Drosophila melanogaster: one gene and its partners. Changing the gene in region 2 together with the main gene of any one other region gives a genetic interaction. Each region holds a gene or a part of one and is shown on either strand. Other genes may lie near its edges.

Region 1 (9,489 bases), on a different chromosome or scaffold from region 2:
GTAAGCTTTACTTTTTGATTTTACTATCCATCCTCGAAATATTTCCCAAACATTTTCGAACGTACTGCCCTCGAGAAGGAAAGTCACCCAAACCCCCTGATGACTGGCTAATTGCGGACTTGCCAAAATGAATTTTCCTGCTTCTAATAATATTACCCAAGGGGCCGGGAAAAAAGGGTTGCGTGGGGCGGGGGACGGCGGGCGGGCGACTTGTTGTCGCACGTGTTCAACGCGGCGTATGCTTAATCTGTTTGGGTTACACCTGCGGACGGCGGGGGCGTCCATCCACTTGGCTCCACTGGGCCCCCAGTTGTTTCTTTCCGTTGCGTTCGTCATCGGTTATCTGGGTGCTATTTATAGGGTCGAAGCACCCGATGAGCGACTGCCGATGGGTCACTAATCGCAGTAATTATCCTTTATGGAACACAAAATTATTAATTAAATTCGGTTCGCTATTTTGCCAGAATCTCACTTGGCACATAATTGATTTACCCAGCCGTAATAATGGCAAATTGCCTTTAATTGTTTTCGCCAAAGGGCTGCTAAAGTATGAGGTGAATGGCTGTCATGTGCGATCTGTGTACTGCACTCCATGTTTGATTGGATTAACGAGAAATGTGCTTTTTTGGGTGGGAGGGGACTTAAATGAAATCAAATTCAATATCTTCACGATGGCTCATCTATGAAATTGATTATTTCGAACTCCTTTTGAAACCTATTGCCAATGCAGGCTGTGTTTTATTCTGAGTGTCTTATCAATTTGATTACAAGTGAGCATTCTTTGAAATTAAATGCACTGCTAATCCAATAAAAAAAATTAATTATTGCAGTGGTATACTTAAAAATATTCCAATATTTCAATTTAGTTCATATGGAGTCAAATGTTAAGTATTTGAATTGGTGACATGCTAATGATGTTTATAGACTTAATTGCTGTTAAATTAAATTTAATTTGTCTGGGTATAAAGCTTAATTTTTAATAATACTGCCAGAGCAAGCAATCAATTGTTATTATAAGTCAAATTGTTTTAGCCCCTCTTATTAAAATGCTCGGTCTGGAGCTATTAGCCCAATTAGTTTCTAAGCCAATGTAGAGTTATTTGTTTCATAATAATATATGTAATATTTACCTTCGTGTAGCTCTCCGTGGACCTGATATCGTTAATGGTCCACGGCAGCATGGAGGCGGAATAGCGCGGATCCACGGATGCACTGCCGCGGAAAGTCAGCGAGACGAGGCGCGTTTTCATCTTCACTGTTCCAGTTTCTGTTTCAGTTGCAATATTGACTTTGATTTAATTTCGAGTGTGGCTTATGCGTGTGTACTTTCGCCGAACGATAAACTGTTAAAATTGCTGGTCAAATTGAGTTGCGGCCCATTTATTTACTTTGCATTTTATTGGCCGCTTTGCAAATTGCTCTTTAATCGTTTTTGTATATGTTTTCCTGACGTAGCGTGCTGCAGTCCAGGATCGAATCAATATTTAATGGCGACCGCGTTTCCACATTCCCAGGCGGAAGGGAGTCGTCGCTGATGGAATTCTGACTTCGTGCGCCCAATGAATCACCCCCAAAAAGGGGGGCGGCAAAGCAGCCGGATAGTGCGGAAAATGGGCAAGTGGGAACATGGGAAAGATGGGAAATGGGAGCATGGGCAGCCGGGGCGCTGGAGCGGACAATGACCACCTGACTGCGCTTCCTGTGGGAAGGTCTCGAGGAGCGGAGGAGCAGAGAGCATCCGAGAAATTACTATCAATATTGATTTTTATTCGCAGCCAGTGCCGTCTTTGTTTTTCACATATTCATGGCTCACACATTCACAAAAATGCACAGTGCGCGCTCGCTACAGTTAACTGGCAAGCAAAAGTAGTTATTTAGATTCTCAAAGGAAAGATAGTTTCAATACTGTAGTAATATTAGTAAGAACTTTAAATTCACAGTACCATTAAGGCAGCAATGTAAGGATTCTCAAAACACGTACTTTCCTGTTGGCATGTTCCCTTTATCGAGCGTGCACTGTGATTTTTCTTTGCCTTAGAAAGAATGGGAAGATGGGGGCACGGAGGATGGGCTTGAGAGGCAGGAGGAGGAGCAGGAGGCGGAGAAAGAGGACGAGCCACCACCAGCAGACAGACTGCGAAAAAAGAGACGGCAGTCACCCCAATGTCGGAATTTACTTTTGCACTAACTTGGCACTTTTAACTTTCTACTTTCTAAGGTTTCCAATACCTTTTCGCCGCCCCTCGCCACACACACTCACACACCCGCCGTTACGCGACACACACACACACACGGATGGTGGCGTGCAACAATAAATACTGATTTTGGCGATTGGTGCGCCCGAAAACACGTTGAAATGCCACCAAATTCCGCTGAGCACTGAGCACTGAAAGTCGAGTTCCTGCCGCTTCTCCAATTCGCGATGCCTAGCATTTCTCTACGTCTCGTCCTTCGTCCTGTCGGCCGATAAATCGCGATTGCCGAGCATGCGCGTGCTGCCAGCCAAGTGGGTTGTCAGCAAAGGCGATGAAATTATAGCCGCAATTGGCCCTTACAAGACTGGTGCGCAAATCTTGCGGCAACACATTTCAATTTGCGCTTTTTCGAGTCCGCCGTTGAAAGTCAAACAAATGCGCGTCTTGTCGTTTGGAACAGCTGATTGCCAGGTGCTTCTTCTTCTGCGAGTGCCAGCCACTGGGAAGCAGTGTTGCAAAGGGACGGTAGAGGTAAATAACAGGCGCTACAAATTTAAAATTTAAATGCAAAGTGTTCTCACGTACATGTTTATTCAAAGCACTCAATAATAGTATGTACTTACTTTAATAACTAAATATTATATGCACATTGGACAATGAATTATTACTTATTTATTTATTTTGTAACCAATCTTTAAGTCAAATGGGAGGATGTATATATATGTTTCATTCTCCGCTCGTAAATTATTATTGGAGACGTGCAGATAAAATAAAAGCAAACCCGTTCACATCGAAGCTCGCCTGGTGTGACCATCCACGCTGGTCAAACTACTTTGCGCACGCCATGGTCGCACTGCTCGCAGCAAGCCAGGCTTGGCATTCAAATTTCGATCGCGACGAGCAACAGGTGCGATTTTTGGCATTCCGGTTCGCAGTGCAGCGCATTTCTCCCACTTGGCGCCCTAAAAAATCGGCCGGGGGCAAAAACCATAAACCATGGTGTATATCGTGTGTGCAAGTTGACTTTCACTGCGGGTCAATTCAGAGATCGGGATCCCAGGCGACGTTCGTCTTTAATTAAGGCGCTTCGCACGCGTTGTCGTCGTTGTTTTAGCTCCAATTTAGCTGCTTTAGCCGTTTTATCTGCTTGGTAGTTTTGGCCAAGTAGAAGAGGGGCTCCGCTGCGAACGTGTTTACGATTTTCTGTGCGATCCCAAGCTGCGATTCGAATGCGAGCTTCGCGTTTTCGCACTCGAAACTTCTTTTCGTCTATTTCTCACCCAGAAAACACAATCGCAGTAGACTTTTGAGTTGATTTTAGTGAGAAGAGGCAGTAAAAGAGCCATGAAAAATATGGCAAGAGATAAAAAAACAGACAAAAACAGAAGAAGCAGAGGGCGACACTGTGCGGAGTACCGTTAATGCGCGAGTAACTATTTAATCATGATTTAAATAATGAGGAATTCGCGCTCGTAATTGATTTAAGTAGCGCTCGGCATTTGCATAATTTTCCCCATACGAACACACACACTTGCAAGCCTGGAAAATCCGTTTTTCCTCTGCAGCAGCAGCGGCAGCACAACAAGTGCACATGTGTAGGGGTGTGCAGCCGTGCACGGCATGCATGCATGTGGCCGAGTGCAGGTGTATTGGTGCTGTTGTGAACCTAAATGGACAAGTTAGAATCCACATTCCACAACAATGGCCAAGAAAACGGCCGCCGATCTATCAGTTCCTTGGGCAAATCCAAAGATAATTGCAGCGCGGCGCTCCATTCGCAATTTACTCCACAGCCTGTGCAGAAAACAAATGGTTGCTCACAGGCTCAAGATTAGAACAATCTGAGGATCGGTGCTCTCTTTTGTGGAACAAATCTTTAAGTGTACACATGGCTATTGAACTAAATCTATAACCGGTGGCCTTAATTATCATGACAATGAACTACAAAAAAGTCAACGAAAATAGCATGAACCTTTTAGAAGAAGCTGTAGGAAAAAAGTCGCGGCATAATTAGAACGAGCGAAAGGTTGCACAGTGGGTTAAAGGTGGTGGTTTGGGTTAAGAAAGAATCGGTGGAGAAAATGGAAAACACAAATCCTGTGTTACCTGTCCGTCTAGTGCGGAATGCCGACTGTGTGGAAAGAGCTCAGAAAAGACTGCTGGGAATTAATTAATTGTTGTATTTGTAACCTTCGAAGGCAGATCACTATATTTAGGCCAATAAAATCTTGAGAATTTCACGCAAATTCATTCATATCAGCCACATTTTACACAAAAAAGGTTCGTTTATTATTGAAAAACTGAGAGAAAATTGGGAAACGCTGTAGGCTATACATATATCTAATGCTTCTTTCGAAGCTTAGATGAATCCAACCCGAATTGATGATTGGTTTGTTATTGTTTTTTCGAGCACCAAGCTTCCGATCTATTTTGAGAACCTTGAAACCAAGCTAATTTGCTTACGAAACGAATATATCTCCTTTAGAACACAATGTAACCAAGTGGGCCCCATCCGTTTGGTCAGATATTGTATCTACCCTCCATATATATTCCGAACCCACTTAGCCGCACAGCCGTCCGCCCACGAAGCCGCAGTAAGCAACTGTAAACGGGGGAAAGGCCAGAAGAAAGAGCACAATTTTCAAAGAATTCATAAGCACGCGCTAATGCGAATACTAATGTCATGCGGGCTCCATCTCCATCTCTCTGCTGACCAGTATCCACTGGCCCCTGTCGTCCCACCTAACCACCAGACCACCGCCCAACTCCAAAATCCCACCCCCCCCCCGCCCGACCACCGCCTGTTACCTGTGCGTAAGGTGTGTGGAAGCACCTGTTGTTGAACAACATAACCGTGCGTGCCCGGCCGTTCGTGTTGCGTCTTATTAGAAGCCGCATTCGGTGGCCCCTGGGCCAGTCGGTAGAAACAGAGAAAAACAAGAAAGAAAAACAGGGGAAACGAAAAACAGACTTGGCCAAAAGAAGCGAGAAACACAGCGCTGAAAACCGGTTGACGTGGAAATGAAAGAAAACCTTTTGCATTTACAGTCAAGCTTCGGGAAGGGAAATTAATTTGAGTCGAAATATTGGTACAACTTCTCGCGCCTTTTCAATTTAAAGCAAAGATATCTCCAGAAAACAAAGGTTTATAAAAATAGATGGATAGTTGTTCCAATATATAATCAAATAATAAAACCCCCAAATTTGCTTTTTCACTTCATATTTCTTTAGTTCAAGCTAACGAAGTTTGACTGTAGCACTTGCCGTATGTTAAAACTGATGTCGCTGAATAGTTGGATTTTTCTCTTTTTCCACAGATCGAATTTGGTGAAATCAATGCGTAGAAAGTGAAACGAGATTCAGACAAAGTTGGGGGAAAAGTGAAAAGCTGCGGAAAACTTGGCTAACCAAACAAACACATTTGAACACACTTGCGTTGGGCGGATTGAGATTTCGTGCTCCTCCAACCGATTTGCCTGGCCAGGAGCTGCAGTTGGAGCTGGAGCTGGAGCCAGAGCCACAATCAAACACCTGGGCGAGCGGCGGCCCACCTGCCGGCTTAGATGCGTCTAATCCAAACGGCAACCGGCGGTGCTGCTGCGTCCGTTCTGCAGACCCACTCCCAGGCGCAGTACAACTACACCAGCATGCGTGAAGATGATATCGAGCTGGCCATTAAAGTGGTAAGTTGCCCAGCCGGCTGCGTGAATCTCTGTCATTCGGATGATGAATGGTTGAAATGAGTGCACTGCAAGAAAAAAAGATGGCTACTATTAAACCAAACCCACATATACAATTGATTATATATCGTATCAAGAAGAGTTCTGCATATCCCAAAATGGAATGACTTCTTTCCAATATTAGTATATTAATCAACTTCCATATGTTAAAGCATCAGATCATCTAATAGTTTTTCTATATATTTTTATAAACTTCTAACTAGTTCTAAATAATAACTTTCTGTGTAATTTTCCCTCGCCAAGTGTTGTGAATGGCACCTGTAAGATAAAATCCGATGGAAATGTCTGTTGCTAATGGCGAAACTGCACGAATTAAGATTCTAGTTCAATTAGGGTTCTCCTCTCCCTAAATAAAGTTGTTTCTAATGGTTTTTCTGGAATTGTTTCAAATTGATTTATATGATTATTTCCGAATGTGTCTTTCTGCAGACAAGCCAAATTTGATTGACATTTACGCGCTTAATTAACTTAAATGGCTAACCGTTTTAAATGTCCAGTAGAAAGCACATAAATATTGTGAACAGTTAATTTTCTCTCCTTCTGGTGAATAACAAAACGCTTTTTTGCTTATGATTGAAATAGCAAAACATAACGTAAGACTTTTGTTTTGAAATATGAACTAATAACAACTCTGGTATTTTCCATAGGTCATTGTTGGAAATGGCGGCGTTGGCAAGTCATCAATGATCCAGCGCTATTGCAAAGGCATTTTCACGAAGGACTACAAGAAAACGATTGGAGTGGACTTCCTAGAGCGACAGATCGAGATCGACGGCGAGGATGTGCGCATCATGCTGTGGGACACCGCCGGCCAGGAGGAGTTCGACTGCATCACAAAGGCGTACTACCGCGGCGCCCAGGCTTCCGTCCTGGTCTTTTCGACGACGGATCGAGCATCCTTCGACGCGATCAAGGATTGGAAGCGCAAGGTGGAGAACGAGTGCAACGAGATACCCACAGTGATTGTGCAGAACAAGATCGATCTTATCGAACAGGCGGTGGTTACGGCCGACGAGGTGGAGACGCTGGCCAAGCTCCTCAACTGCCGGCTCATCCGCACCTCCGTCAAGGAGGACATTAACGTGGCGTCCGTGTTTCGCTACCTGGCCACCAAGTGCCATCAGCTAATGACCCAGAGCTACGACCAGGTGGCCGGAAACCAGCAAAACTCCAGCCATCCGCCTTACAGCAGCACGCCCACGATCAGCGCCTTCAGCCCGACCTTCACAAAGTCCAGCAGCGGCACCATCGTCCTCCGTCCGGCGAAGAAGGGCCATGGCTCCAGCGTGGCCCGAAAGCGAAAGATAGTGCTCAAGAAATGCGGAATATTGTGAGGAGTTGTCGGATTAGCTGGTTAGATGGCGGCAGGGGCGACTCGGCTGGCAATTAATATCTGGAGCATATTTAACGCCTAATTATTTTGGAGCCTAATGATGTTGTGGCCGGGTGGCCAGCCAACCGTTGGATGCAACCACAGCCATTCACTAGTCGTGCACAGACTCCGCGTGATGTGGTTCAGACATGCTTACGGAACAGAAAAAATAATCGGAGGCAGCAAATTGGATCTTCTGGATCCCCACGAAGATGAGATACCCTTGCGGTCGAACTGAGGAACTAAATATTTGATTTACACTGCACAACGGAAAGTTTTCACCATCTTTCGGGCCGGTTCCGATATCTCACAAAAATGTATTCATCTTTGGTTTTTAAAACTACGATTTTTAATATACAGATTTAAATTCTATGCCGGATATTGTTCTTGAACACGAAAATTATAAGAAACACCCAAATCATTTAAGACACCATAGAATAAGCTAACTTTTCGGTGTATTATTTTAACTGCAACTATTTAATACTCCTGTTTATATTTACCATATATAGAACGTATATACAGACCCAATACTCACTTGGCCACACGAGCCATTAGACCAAAACCATAGCACCCGATCTGCACGGGTAGATGATGAGTTCTCGAAACCATAGACAATATGCACGAGCACTGGCAGTTTCTCAAAAATTTCCACAATTAGTTATAGATACGAAATCAAATTTGTATGTATGTATTATGCCCGCTTTTCTATAACGGAGACTGAAGCAACTTTGCTTTCATATCGAATATGTTTGTATATAGGGGTTAGCTCCCTAACCAAGCAGAATTAAAAGGCTATTTATCACGCTACCAAGCCCAGATCACAGGTCCATGTGAAATCCCTTTGCCAATTCGCGTTGGCCAAATGTGCAATTAAACATTCAGCTTTTATAATTATTAACTAATTGCAAGTCATGCCAGAGCGCAATTTGACGCGATTCATGTAGACCAGTGCTGCTCGCATTCTATGCAAAAAACTGCAGATAGAGCACAGTGAAACTCGTGAAGCATGTAACATGTAAGCCGAATAGGAGTTTAGAAATAACTAATAAATAATAAATAACCCTAAGCCCATTAATATTCTATTTATGCATGTAATGATCCATTAATATGTTTACTTAATAAATTATTTTATGTAAATTAAGTCGATTGTTGTGCAATTGGGATTCACTTTTGGAAAGTCAGCGGGCAGGAATTTGATGAAGTGGGTTCGAAATTAAAGTAGCATAATGGGTTAAGATGTCATGGGTTAAAACAGCAGTCGTAGTTTTGAAATGTTTACCATTTTTTATTTGATTTTTGATTTTACACTTTTTTTGTAAGCTTGACAATTTTGCGATCCGCTTCTGTTACACCATCGTTTAAACGTTTCCACATTTAAATCGTTTAAACTATTTTAAATATATAATATTTCTTTCTTTATATTTACAATGCGCGTTGAAAAACTATCGCTTCGCAACGCATAAATCATTAAATGTGTATATATCTATTTTGTTGTAATTTTCAAGTGTTTCCTTGTATTAATAAAGGCATAAATAACTATTCGTCAATTTCCATTCTTATTTATTTACACAAAGTCGAAAAATCAAAATATCTTAGATATAGGCAAGGAGAGAGAGTAGAAAGTTCGATTTCTGGAGGGTCAGGGGAAGAGAGTGGTAAAAGCTGAGCATAAAACTGTGTTTTTCGCAGGCTGAGCCCAAAAGATTGTGTTTCTTGTTTCTTTGTGTGTTTGGGTTGTGTTTTGTTTGTTTTGTGAGGGTGGGTCTCTGTGTGTGTGTGTGTGCAAACTCTTTGTGTTCTAGTCTTTTTAAAATGCCTATAAAAAATATGATTTCTTGTGTTCCTCATCTCAATTTTACACGCTACGAAACTAATGTGACTTGGAAATAATTTTCTTGGCACTAAATGAAGCAAATTATAACTTTAAACCGAAAATTACCGATGTAAATATTTTGATTATAAGGTAAATTTGTTAAAGTACATTATTTTTATTTGAAATAAAGATTTTGAAAATCCTAGCTGTGTCTGTGTCTCGGTGTGTTTGCATTTGAAGGGGTAAATCCCGCTTTCAAATTTGATAAGATTATTTCATTATGCGGACATTAGAACATTTGTTTTCACTTTCTTTTGAATATATATTCCGCACTTGGTTAACTTTAAATCAGTTAACTATATATAACTT
Region 2 (7,494 bases):
ATTAAGAATGACTCCCGCTGCATTAGCTACTGGGAGTCATTGGGTGATGCTTATGCGGGACGCGGCTCGTACAACTCGGCTATTCGAGTCTTTCAAAAGATCCTTGAACTATCTCCGGAGAATAATTATGCCCTGCTTCAAATAGCTTCAGTGAAAACGGTGCCACATTCCAAAATTAACAAGAAAACATAAATAATTTTTACCCCATTTAATAGACAATACGCATGTACACTGAATCTATTGAAGATTACGATACGCTGCTACAACGTAATCCTACTTACCTGCCCGGACTTCGAGGTGCTGCTGAAGCGCATATTGGCATTGCGAATAGTTTGAAGAGCCAGAACTTGTACGGAAGATCCAAAGCGCATTTCCAATTGGCTCTGGAACACCTTCAAAGGTATTAGCTCAGCCAGCGATTTCGTGTATCTGTTGATAAGTTTTATCCATTCCTTACAGCGCCTTCCTTCAGCGTGAAGCTCAAGGAATGGTTTGGCTATGGCGCCTCTCAGCTAACATTTTCGTTCAGACAGCCCAGTTGCCGCATTCGTTGGCCAACTTGGATGTGGCTGGAAACCTAGCCAAGCGCGAAGAACCCATTGCATATCTTTCACGCAAGGATCTTCTACAGCTAGCTCAGCGCTTCTACTTGTGCGCCTTAAAACTGAAGCAGAATACGTACCTGTGGTACGAGCTATCGTTAGCCAGCTACTACAGTGCCATTCTCATACCCGAGGATGCAAACGGCCACTTAGAGACGGCGACTAAGGCGTGCAAAATGGCCATTAAGGAGTGTAGCAACAGATGGCAAAATTGGAATCTTCTCGGAGTTATCAATATGAACTCCGAAAATGAGAACTTGCCATTGGCACAGCACTGTTTTATTCAGGCTGTAGTGCTGGAAAAAAAGTGCTACACAGCGTGGACCAATCTCGGAGTTCTCTATATTAAACTGAATGAAGTCCGATTGGCCAACGAGGCCTTTACGAGAGCCCAGCAATCAAGTCCCGTGTACGCCAACGCTTGGATTGGACAAGCAATGGTTGCGGAGTTGATTGGCGATCGCGAGGAAGCCTTTGATCTGTTTCGTCACTGCCAGCAGTTCGATTACCATCCGGAGGCGGCGCTTGGATTTGCGCATTGGGTGTGCGAAATGCTGTCGACTCCTGGATCTTTCGACAAGCCGCGCATAAAGCATGCCATCGAACACATGTACGCTGATGTGCTTGCGCTGGATGCCATCAATTGGTAAGTATTATAGTAATGCCCTATCTAAAACCAACTAAAGACTTGCAATACATTTAAGGTATGTGCAAAACGAGGAGACGGATGCGACACCAGCATCGCTGTCGTTCCAGGGATTTCTCTACGCCCGGAAAAACCTGTATCGCCAAGCAATCGAAGCCTTCACTCGGGCGTGTAAGTTGTGCGAACCTGGAGCGGATCGTGACAAGCTCTACACGAATCTGGGATACCTGTACTTAAAAATAGACCAGCCGGAGCAGGCGGCACACGCCCTAAACACGGTTGCACATGCCACATTTAAGCCGATCATTGGCCTGGCCCAGGCATATTATCTAGCCGGTCAGTTGCAGGAATCCTACTCTATTTACAACTCCGTTCTCGGCAACGTGGTTGATCATGGCGATGACAAAGCAGCTACCATCCTCGTGGCTATGGCATCCATGATTTACGACTTTCAGGGCGAAGCGGACACCAAAACCCTACTCTATCAGTGGTTGGTAGCGCAATATTTGTTTTGTTGATTCAACATTTCTAACGTTATAATCACCAAAAGTGTCTTGTTGAAGGAGGTCCCCATTCAGGCGTTGTTTTCAGCCCTTGCCCTAGGTATACTTCATAGAGATAATGCGTTGATCCATACGATACTGACGGAGCTGAATGCGTACGCCTTTAAGAAGGAGTATTGTGCCGACATATCCTATTTAACGGCTCACTACATCCTGATAAATGTTCGTTAAAAGTGGTGAATGTTGTGGTTCTACAAAAGTAATACTATGATTTTGTTTAGGAGGGTGCCCGAAGAGCGTTGTGCTATCTACAGACTCGCATACGAATGTTTCCCAATTCCCGAAGTCTGCGAAGTGTCGTGCTAAAGTTTCTTCTTGATTATTTCTCTGATGACCAATCCTATCGACTGGCTACTTCAAATATGGGTCGAATAACTCTTACTCTGGGACACACTAAGCAACAAAATAGGTAAGACTTGGGAATTTATATACATTGTATTATGATAGACTGAATTTGTTTATATTTAGCATCTTGGCCAGCGAAGAGGCACTGACCACTATATATGCCAGTCAGGCGGTTAGTGCAGTAGACAAAACCTGTTCTATGAAGTTGTTGCAGCGCGCCATACTGCTAAGCCCAACTGACCAGAGAGCCAGACAATTACTTTCCGCTATTATTGCAAATTCATGATATTGTCCAACAAAATAAACTTACTTTAAAATTTAAACTATCAGTTTGGCGGTTGAATTGCCAAACTGATAGTGTTTGAAAACACTAAATGCAATGTGACCGTGCTGCTGATTGTGTTGCGGTGGTCACACTGCGTCGGGGGTGAAGCCAAGTCCACGAAAAAGTGAATAAAAAGCGAAAAATGTGCGAGAAATAGTTAAATAGCGTATGAAATAGCCATGCAAGACACGAATAGTGACAATGTGCCGCAGAATTAGCCGCAGATAAAGCTCTAAATCGCCTATAGGCTATGCACTGCGCCCTGCATACCTGCGTATGAAAAACCTGCTGCCGCCGCAATTACAGTTAGACACTAAAATAGCTGCACGGCCAGGTTGCAAGGTGATTTGGGGCACGTCTCTTCGCGAGCAGGAGATTCGGAATCGGGCATAGCTCTCGCGCGCTAGCCCAATTGCAATGGAAAACGAATCCGTCAAGTCGGAACACAGTGGACGCTCCAGACGCTCGCGGAATCACAACAACAACGGCGGAGGGGGTGGCGGCGGAGGTGGTGGCGGAGGAGGCAGTGTCAACAACGGCTATCACAGGGAGCGGGACCGCTCCAGACATTCCCACCGCAGCACACACTCCTCGAAGTCGGCCAAGGGATTTCAACGTGGCGACATGGCACCGTACCAGACCAGCGTTAATATGACAGGTGAGTTTGTTTAATGGCTCTATCGGTGGAAGGAAACCAATTGACCCATTTATTATTTGGGCACCAGGAGACGGCAGCCACGATGGCCAGGAAGTCATCGAGGTGCAAATCCTTCCGCAGGACGAGAACTGGGGCGAGAATACTACCGCCGTCACGGGGAATACCTCGGAGCAAAGCATCTCAATGGAGGACATAAACAACATGTGGCATCGTGAGAGCGACAAGGGCTTCAGCTTTGCGTGCCGCCGATACGTGGAGTCGAGCTTCTACTTCCTGCTGGGATGCGGAGCGTTTTTTTCGCCAGTGGCAATGGTGGTGATGCCGTATGTGGGCTTCTTTCCGTCGGCCTTCGATCATCCGGAAATAACGCAAACTGTTCGCACCCAGCTGCTGGCCTGCAGTGAGCAGTGCAAGGGCCAACTGGTATCGCTGGCCGCCCGGCTGCTGCTTCTGGCCATCGGCCTGTGGGCAGTGTTCATGCGACGTACATCGGCCACCATGCCACGGATATTCCTATATCGCGCTCTCGTCCTCCTTCTCGTCACCATCTGCACGTTTGCTTACTGGCTCTTCTACATCGTGCAGGTCACAAACGGGGCCAAAATCGTTGTGGAGACGGGCGGCGATGCCGTGGACTACAAGTCACTGGTAGGCTATGCCACCAATTTTGTGGACACTCTTCTATTTATTCACTATGTGGCCGTGGTGTTACTAGAGCTGCGACACCAGCAGCCTTGCTACTACATCAAGATCATTCGCTCCCCGGACGGCGTTTCGCGCTCCTACATGTTGGGTCAGCTGAGCATCCAACGGGCGGCTGTGTGGGTGCTACAGCACTACTACGTGGATTTCCCCATATTTAACCCTTACCTGGAGCGCATCCCAATATCGGTCTCCAAATCGCAGCGAAACAAGATATCAAACAGTTTCAAGTACTACGAAGTGGATGGGGTGAGCAATTCGCAACAGCAAAGCCAGAGTCGAGCAGTTCTAGCAGCCAACGCGCGGCGCCGAGACTCCTCGCATAACGAGCGCTTTTACGAAGAGCACGAGTACGAACGTCGTGTGAAGAAACGGCGTGCCCGTCTTATAACCGCCGCCGAGGAGGCCTTCACCCACATCAAACGCATTCATAACGAACCGGCTCCGGCACTGCCGCTCGATCCGCAGGAGGCTGCCTCGGCGGTTTTTCCCTCGATGGCCAGGGCGCTGCAAAAATACTTACGGGTTACGCGTCAGCAGCCGCGGCATACCTTTGAGAGCATACTGAAACATCTGGCGCACTGCCTAAAGCATGATCTGTCGCCCCGCGCCTTCTTGGAACCCTACTTGACCGAGTCTCCGGTGATGCAGAGCGAGAAGGAGCGACGCTGGGTGCAGTCTTGGTCCCTGATCTGCGACGAGATCGTCTCTCGGCCAATTGGCAACGAATGCACGTTCCAGTTAATTCAGAACGATGTCTCCCTAATGGTAACCGTACACAAGCTGCCGCACTTCAACCTGGCCGAGGAGGTTGTGGATCCCAAAAGCAACAAATTTGTTCTTAAGTTGAACTCCGAAACATCCGTATGACACCACCACAACGCCCCTCCAATCAACACTCCCACTCATAGCAACCAGACGCAATCGTCCTACTTGCATGTGTTTGTCTGATTTTCCCAGCTACTAATTCACATATTCACATATTTTCTTTACTTCAGCCAAATCGATGACGTTCTTGTGAGAACTGCCATCAGGGTAATTGAATTCATTTTTATATATGCCTGAAACACCACAACCAATCAAACCAAGCAATCAAAATTACTTATCAATGAACAAGAGGAGCATTTTTAAATCGATCAAAACCCTGAATTTAAAAAAAAAAAGAAAAAAACATGGAAGTTTAGAAAGGAAAAGTTGTTGTGAGAACAAAATGTCTAGGCAGGCCTCAGCAGCTAAATTTTGATCTTGTAACAAATGATTATTAGATGAGAAGGCAACGTACTTATCAGTGCTAAACTTGAACTTATGACCCGAATATCAAGAAACAATGCTCAAAAGCCCAGTGTATCATCCTAAACCGACGCGAACATATCACACCCTTTGATAAGCAAACATGACTTACAAGTTCCCAAAGTATTAATTATAAGAATGATGGTTTGGCTTGCCGAACCGCGATCTTCAGATATCAACTCTTAAATGCAGCTCTTTTATACACGATTTTTATTTTAGTAAATATGTTTAGTGTAAAGTTGGGCTTACTCTTCGCGGAATATCTAAAATTTTACCCGATATCTGTGAGGCGTGAGCCCGATCGCTAGCCTTAAGAAGGAATGGAGTGAGCCAAGGCAAGCCCATGGAATTTTAGCTAGGACTCGGACTTGCGTCGAAAGTGCATTGGCCACTTTTGACGCGACTTAATAAGATTTTACATACGCACATTTTAAGCCGAAACCGAATGGTCCTAACTCTTCTGCCACAAAGTTGAGAAACGACGAAACAACTATAACTCGAATGCAACTGATGACAAATACATAATATAAGCGAAGACTGCCTGAATATGCATTTTATACACACAAATTGCCAACAGCCACTAGCAGGTGTATGTACTAGCCTGTGCATAGCAACCACATATATACAAAAACTCGTGTATTTTTAGAGACAAAATTATAGTGATAAGGACCCGAATTCGTATTCGAACATGTGTACGTTCCAGTGAACCCAATCTATATATACATACATATATGATATATACCTATTTACAAAACTACTTAGAAACGTTTGCTTGAGGTTTGATTTCATTTTCGTTTTCTAGCTAAATGTCTTCTGTCGAAGCTCTTTTATATTGCAATTATCTAGCAATTACTTAAAGCAATTGGAAAACCAACCTAAGCATACATACCATTTATACATACATTTACTCTCAAACTGTAACTGTTGTAATTGTAACTAGCATAAAAAACAAAATGCGTAAATAAATCAAACCCACTTCTTTAACAGCTTTAAACGAATTGTTCTATCTCGAAGGTGACGCAAATCGTGGAAATGCGCACGTAATTAATTCATTCTTGGGGGTCTTTTGAATGTCTGAAAGTTGCCTTATCAGCTCGGGATTAACAAACAGTTCCTATATTGATTATTGAGCCCAGCAGGTTTACCAAATCGCACTGAAGTATAATGTATGAGTAGATTTAATCGCAATCAATCAAGTTTCAAGTTCTTTGTGATACAAAGACTCGAATGCCTCTCGAATTTCTATGATAAGAGTAATAAGCTCAATTAATTCAAGTGGAGTGAGCACGATGGTCTCATTTCATAAGCTACTTAAATATCAAACTGAGGAAACCCATGATTTGGTGCCTGGTGGTGGATGGTGCGTTCGCTTTTATTTACATTATTTCATAAATACTAGCCAAATGTGAGTGGAATACTAACATATCAGATATCCTTTAAACAATAATAGGCAACAGCTTGCGCTGCTGTTGTTTTTTGGCTTGTGCGTCGTCAGTGCTGTTGGTATAGAACTTTCAATTTTAGACAGGTCTACGTGTTAGATCTTTCGTCCCAGTCGCCTAGCGTATCCGCTTAAAGGTGCATTCGGATTATTCCTTCCTGCGCTGGAGGCCGTTCTTGCTTGGCTCGTAGAATTCCTCGACAATGGCCTCCACCATGGTATTCATTGTATTAGTCAGCTTGGCCCAGTTTTTCTCGTCCGGCTTGCCACACATTTCGGCGTAGTACTTCATCTTGGGCTCCGTGCCGCTGGTGCGTAGAGTGACCACGAGTCCGTTTTTGAAGGTAAATGTGATCATTTGGGAACTGGAGCTGGTCGGCAAGGTGGCCTTCTTGTCGCCAGTGCTACTGTCGAATCCCGTGGTTAAATCGCGAACGTTTTCAATCTCGTACTCGCCGTTAAGGATGCTGGTCGGATAGGTGTCTGCCTTGCCCTCGTCCCAGGTGCGCAAGCGCTCAAAGATCTGCTCGATGACCGGCGGGCAACGGCATATGACATAGGAGCTGACAGTCGTGTGGAACCCATATGTTTCGTAGATGTCGCGCAGTTTCTCCTGCAGTGTCATGCACAGCTTGCACCGAAGATAGCACGCCATAGTGGCCAAATGGCCAGCCGCGCTGACACCATCCTTGTCAAGTACGGTGGTGCCGACCATGAAGCCGATCGCCTCTTCGAAGGCAAACAACACAGTTTTTCCCGCCTGCTGTAGCTCGATTGCCTTGTTACCCATCCACTTGAATCCAGTCAGCGTTTCGAAGAACTGGAAGCCTTCCCGCTCGGCCATGGCCCTGAGAATCTTTGAGCTCACCGTACTGGCTATCATCACACAGTTACTAACATCGCAGTCGGGTTCTCGCATTTT
Region 3 (6,471 bases), 950 kb from region 2:
ATCGAAAGAAAATTAAAATTTATTGAGTTTACTTGGCAGGCTTTGGAACTGAGCTGTTTCTGAGTCTACGCCGCTCATCCGGTTTATACATTTTAATAAAAATTTTCTTAGATTATTATTTTAGAAGGACTATTTTCAAATACATCATAATAAAGATAAAGTAAATGCAGTAATGGGAATGGTCAGATGTCAGTTCTTTAAAAAAATTAGTTGATTCAATTCCATGCTAAGTTGGGAGATAATCGATTAGCCAAAGGCTCGGAATTTTAAAATCCTAAACTGATCCTTTGGATTCGTAGGAGATTCCAGTCACCACATGGATATGCTTTTTCGGAAGTTGCATTTTAATAAATAACTAATTTTAAACATTAAAACTGCACTGCACGCACATACAAGACAACATTGCGTATACGTGATTATGAGTTACATTTTTAGGATCAGTACGTAGAAAGCAAATATTTTGAGGGGATTTATGTTTCAAAACATAGGATTGTGTTTTAATGCAATATGAATGATTATTAAACTGTAACATAATAAAACTAATATTCTATTTATAATAATTATATTATGCTTGCATTTTGTACATTGAGTTTCAAGGAAAATGGATTTCGTAATCAATTAGTAAACTAATATATTTCCAATAATTATATTATTAAATTATATTTCATTTGTATAGTTCGCAGCAAAATGGCCTATTGCACCTTTTGACCTTTTTGCACCTTCGGGCGTAAGTTTCTATCTTGCGATTACTGAATTTCGTATTAATAAGACATCTTTGGTCGAAATGATATGCAATTTGAATGCGATTAAAGATCTATTCCTGACATGAGACCAATAATAATGCCCATTAGCTAAATGAGCACATTGATGTCTCTATACATTTGTTTTTTAGAAAACTGTGTTCTGAATGCTCACTGAGTACTTTCGTACGCTCTCAGGGTGCGCTTCGTCACTACGTGAACGGGCGTCTACATCGATTAGATGATAAGTGAGGAAGACTGGAATGCCTAGATCGACTTGGCTAGTTATCCGGCTAAAAGCAAAAAATGAAGAGTGGCCCATGAGGGGATCGAACCCGCGACCTTCGCGTTATTAGCACGACGCTCTAACCAACTGAGCTAATGGGCCTTCGTGAGAGCGGCGTTCTGGGTTATCAATTTGGATTGGGGGTGCTTCTCTAAACACTCATATCGCTACTTATTTAAAGTCCGAATAAAGTGGATGTTATCTATGTATATACTGATTACCTTTTTGTATTCCAGCCTATTGGGTTATAAACAAATAGAAATATGTGTGAATATAAAATATAAAACAATTCGATTACAATTTTCAATTTCTTGGAAAGCGTGTTGCATGTTTTTTTATTCTTATCAGCAAAAAAGAAATGTAATAAGAAAGCCTGCTGAGACCACTTATTGCAATATCAGTCTTCGGCAAGTAGTCTTCTGAATCGGACAATGGAGTGCCACTAGACCATAGGAGTGCTTCTCCTGAGCTGGTTGGTTTGTGGCCACGCCTGTTATTATCCAAAACGATGTTTGGCCAACGATGGGAGTGCACCAAACCGGCGATTGGCATCGACCGACTAATGTATTCTGTGGACCCACTTAAGTGTGTTGTGAAATAAGGGCTCAAGTAAGTGAAATAAGAGCTCAAGTAAGTGCACTACAGGTTCACAGAGTTTGTACGCAGCTTGTATCCATTCTACCCCTACTACACCAGATGGAGAATCCGTCCCTGTCCTCGTTCTTTGGAGGAGGTTCCCTGATTGCCCCTGAGGTTGTACTAACGGCAGCCCACCTGTTGTTGTCTATACCTGGAGTCTACATTTGCATTTAAAAATGACATACAGCCCATCTGCTTACCTCTTCAAGGGTCGTCCATTGAGCAGACACACTGTGTGATTTCCGGATGGGGAAAGCGTTCTTTTAACGACTCTCAAATGTCGAGTATACAAAAGCAAATCGAGTTACCCATAGTAAACAAAGGAGATTGCCAGAATATGTTGAGGAAAACCAGGTTTCAGCTTGCCACCAGTCTCATATGTGTCAGCGGACAGAAGGACAAGGATGTCTGCGTTGGTGACGGTGGGTCCATCTTGGTTTGTTCCCCTGACGCAATCTTCGCTAGATATCACCAGGTCGGGATCGTGGCCTGGGGCGTCGATTGCGGCAGGCCAAACGTTTCCTCGACCTTCAAAAATGTGTCCATGTTCAGGAAGTGGATTGATCGCAACTTTCCAAGCAACTCGGTGGAACCGCTTAGGAACTGTATTCCTATCCACCCAAGAATTTCGTCCTATAAAATGAGATACATGTTGCTTTAAATCACCAAACTTAGCTAATGTAATTACATATATTGTATCAAATATATGTATTTATGAAATTAAATTATCAAACGGAGTCGATTTTAACCACCTGCTGAACTTCAGGTTAAATTATTTTTAAATTGAAGCTTAAGTCTTGGGTATAAATATTTATCAACTAAATTGTTATTTTTTGGTCGAGGAATGTCATAATATTGGGTGCAAGAGTTTTTTCTCTTAGACTACCATTCTGCTGATTGAAAGTATAATATATATCATTAGTCAAATGCAGTATGAGATATTTACCCCAGGAAATAAGCACATTTGTTTGATTTGTTCTTGTGTTCATTTCATTTCTTCATTTTCATTACAGTGACCTTATTAAGATTTTAATTTTTTATCCGTCTACAATTAGTCTTATTGTTGCTGGTTTTATATTTTCTTAACCAAAATAGTGGAGGCTAGTCAATGCTATACAAACTTGTCACGAAAACTTAAGTTCCTTTAAATCTGGTAAGTGCACCTTAACCGCCAAAATTTCAAACTCACCGAAAATGTTAAGCCACAAGTACTCAATAGGCCGATTGTCAGCATCGATGGCGGCATCGATGTTTCCCCACCGCGAACAGAGTGGCTGGCCACACTGGCGCTCAGCTGGCGCTCAGCTGGCGCAGTTGTTGTTATTCTTGCATTTCTACAGCGCGAGGTCCGAATTTTCGAGCGCAGCGCGGCCACAATTTTCCGGGCGTTAGTTAACCGAGACGACTAGTTTAATTAGCGGAATTGTGCGACGACGTCGTGGTTGAAATTCAATTTGAACGCCCAGGCGGTAGATCGGTAAAATCGCGACATCAAAGCACGAGAGTGAGTGAAAAGAGAACCCTGGAAAGTGGTCAATGTGTGTGTATTTGGCGAGCAGTGGCGGAGCACTGAAAAAACCAGTTAGCTGGCAGTGAAAGAGATTCAATAACGTGTTGGTGGGCAAAAGAAGAACAAATTGTTTCGAGTGTGCGAGGCGACGACGACGACATCCAACTGGTCCGGTACGAAGAAGTCCGCTTTCCTCGCTCATTAGCGGCGCTTTCCTCGGGCCCACGATCTGGAAGTCTGGAAATCGGCGATACCTAAAACCGGGCCATAGCCACCACTATCATTATCAACAAATTGATATACATATGCAATTGCAGCAGCGCGTCATCAGCACAGCGCCCATCGCCTAGCAGGTGCGTTCCGTACCGTCCGTCACTTTCGACATTATATTGGTCTGATCGGGTTTCTCTCTCTCTCTGGTGCGTGGTATCTTCTATGTATATACTATAACTATGCATACTATATATGCTCCGTAACAACACACTGCATTGTCTTTCGGGAATTGTTAACACCCCGCCCCGGTGGTGGAGCATCTTTGGCATCCATTCAGTCGGTTGCCCATTCATTTGCCTAACAGACTCTTTTCTGCGCCAACCGACGAACAAGTAAAGTGAAAGGCGGCGGCACGCGTTTTCCCATCTTTTGTATTGAATTTCGCTTCGGCAGCGAGGAAAGCGAAATCGTTCTTAGTCATCAGGACGTGTGGTGAGAGGAGGAGGGTGGGCCAAATCAACATGCAACCGCCTGGCAACAGGCAATGCGTCACAAAAAAACAAGGAATTTCAATTTCCAAGCTGGGATTACTAGTTAACTAAAGCAGACTGTAGTGCAGGGGAAGGTGGTGTTACCGGGGTAGAAATTGAAGGAAATCAAAGGCGATCGATAAAATAATAATATCGATAAACAACATTTGATGAGACGAAAGAAAAGATTCGTGGTTCAAGTTGTTTTACTTTCAGCCAGGCATTTTTAAAAACTTGGATGCATTTAAAACCGGCAAGACAGGCCAAAACGCTGTTGACCCACGGACCTTATCGATTTTTGCAGCTGCTGGGCGGCTAATCATTGGTTTTGTGGCGTGACAAGTGTTTCGGCACCACACCCACTGTCTGTATGTCAGAGGAAAAAAGCGTAAGCGGAAGTGATTTCATAGACCGAAACTCACCCCGAAAACTGAAACGCTGAAAGGGGCATTTCCGTGCTTTGTGGCCATTGCCTGCCCCAAGTCGCTAGTTCATTTTCCGCTATTATGTTGAGGTTAGGACTTTCCAAATCCATGTGATTTCCCAGGGTGCCGGCTTCTGTGCGTCGTCGCAAAAATATGCTGCACTTCGGGGGTGCAAACAGCATGCTTTTCGTTTTCGTTGAAGTTTCACGGCCGAATTGATTTTTCCAGCCTAGACATTACAAAATGCCTCGCCGAAGTGGCGATAATAAAGCGCCTTTTCAGTTTTGCAGCCAGCACGCACATCGGGGCATTTATTACCGCTTTTCCGTTTTCCCTCTTACAAAACTGTGAAGTTAATGCGGCCAGCACGTGGGTCTACGCACTGAGTTTTCCGTTCCTCAGTTTTCATCTGGCCAAGCACTTCTCAGCTGGCCGCCGAAAAGAAAGGGGCAACGAAAGACGCAACCATGACCAAAGAAACTCAAAACTCCAAACTTGAGCAATTTGTAGGCAAATTAAGGTGTTAACTAACCGTGAAGTTGGTCAGTGGGAAACCCATCGAAGATGCTCTAGCTTAAAGCTCATACAGAGCAATAAACAAGTGTTTCTTTGAAGATCTTCGATCTGCTCTTATAATCTTAGATAAGAAACTAGCAAAGTTGAACTTAACTGAGGCAGATAAGTATCTCTAGGTTTAACGAGTTATGATTTCTGGCATATTTCTCGCTGTGTATTTTCGGCAGACGAGCAGCTCGGAAATTGTTTGATCGATTCGATTCCTTCGTCCGCTTCCGCTCCGCCGCTATCGGCTGTTGCCTTTTACCCGCCCATTCGCCACTTGCTAACAGTTGTTTTCGTACGTGAGCAGCGCTCGGATAGGCAGATACTCCCCGTCAGATACACAAGATAGCTTCCTCTTCTGCCTGGATGCGATGCACTGTGTCCGCTCCGCGCTCTCCGTTCTCCAGCTCACCAAGCGGAAGCAACTCCATTTATGTAAATTGCTTGCGTGACATTTCAATGCGACGGGGCGCTTTATGAAAAGCTGGAGCGGCATGGTCCGAGCGGGATGAGCGGTGGCTGGGAATAATGGGTTGAAGAATCGTGGGTCTGGTCTGGTCTGGTAGCTAGGGCTGCCACGGGCTGCTCCGTCATGCCAACAGTTGGCAATCAGTTTAACTGTGCTTTTTATGGCCGTACTTTGCGCTTTTTATGCGCACTCATTGCCGCACATGTGCAATATTACTGCACTAACGTTTTTGCAATCAGTATCAGATGTACTCGGAACTGGTGTGAATGAATCTGCATGTTTTCCATCTGCGTGATGTTTCTACTCCGCTTTAATTATCCACAGTTCCTCAGTCGTTTCATATCATTAATACATGATTGGGCACAGCGATCAATCTTTTTGCACACTAAATACTTGTCTTTGCCTACAATCAGAAGTAATAGAAAGATCGGATTTTATTGTTTATCAGATACAAAAACTGGCGCTTATGTACATATATCTACAATTATTGTTTTTTTTTGCCACTTCCAGTTTTAATTATCCCGAATTTCCGCTCCGATTTCATCACCCGTAATTTGTGAACTGATGAAAACAATACAGCCTTCGGATTAACATATTTTGGAGAAACGTTACAAAGAGATAAAATTCATATTTGAGTTTAGATTGTCGGGCGGCGTAAACTTGGCCCAAAACAAACATTGCCACGGCTTTTCGGCTATAATTCGTTTGCTTAATTTGCTTTTTCGAGCTCGCAGTTCAGCGAGGTGAAACGGTTAAATGTTTTCAAAACTGCCCCAATGTTTTCCCTTCGCCATACGTAGATACTTAGATACATATGTATATACATACTTGACGTTGCGTGTGGTGCTCATTGTTGTTTGGCTGTGCATTATGCTAACTAGACCCTAATGTCGGTGCCCGGGTGTTTTGAGTGCTCCACATTAGTAGTTTTTGTGGAATATGCCCCATAAAGGGCCATTCGATATGTTTCAGCCAGGGCTGCGAGTTCATTGCACTGGATCATCGAATCGTGGAGCAACGACTCTGGTTCGGGACCATGCCAAATGCAAAATGTCAGCAATTTATGAATAATGTAGTGAGAAACACAGGAATCGCAGA

What was found. A genetic interaction does not mean that the proteins touch.
Region 1: of Vang (region 2) and Rab23, changing one enhances a phenotype caused by changing the other (phenotypic enhancement), as found in Drosophila melanogaster (one study listed by BioGRID).
Region 3: of Vang (region 2) and kermit, changing one suppresses a phenotype caused by changing the other (phenotypic suppression), as found in Drosophila melanogaster (one study listed by BioGRID).

The regions. Positions count from the first base shown.
Region 1 is NT_033777.3:5,679,011-5,688,499, reverse strand, and holds Rab23 (Rab23), read left to right. Parts: upstream 1-3,065; 5' UTR 3,066-3,102; intron 3,103-5,512; 5' UTR 5,513-5,758; coding exon 5,759-5,878; intron 5,879-6,582; coding exon 6,583-7,269; 3' UTR 7,270-8,446; downstream 8,447-9,489. Other genes in the region: plx (pollux), read right to left, coding at 1,131-1,250.
Region 2 is NT_033778.4:9,100,678-9,108,171, forward strand, and holds Vang (Van gogh), read left to right. Parts: upstream 1-2,560; 5' UTR 2,561-2,898; coding exon 2,899-3,139; intron 3,140-3,206; coding exon 3,207-4,711; coding exon of another isoform or gene 4,712-4,792; 3' UTR 4,793-6,119; downstream 6,120-7,494. Other genes in the region: CG8777 (uncharacterized protein), read left to right, coding at 1-159, 216-400, 460-1,248, 1,307-1,738, 1,799-1,973, 2,033-2,220, 2,280-2,442; Pgm2a (phosphoglucomutase 2a), read right to left, coding at 6,721-7,494.
Region 3 is NT_033778.4:8,153,112-8,159,582, reverse strand, and holds the start of kermit (kermit), read left to right. Parts: upstream 1-2,928; 5' UTR 2,929-3,169; exon of another isoform or gene 3,170-3,528; intron 3,529-6,471. Other genes in the region: CG8708 (uncharacterized protein), read left to right, coding at 1-16.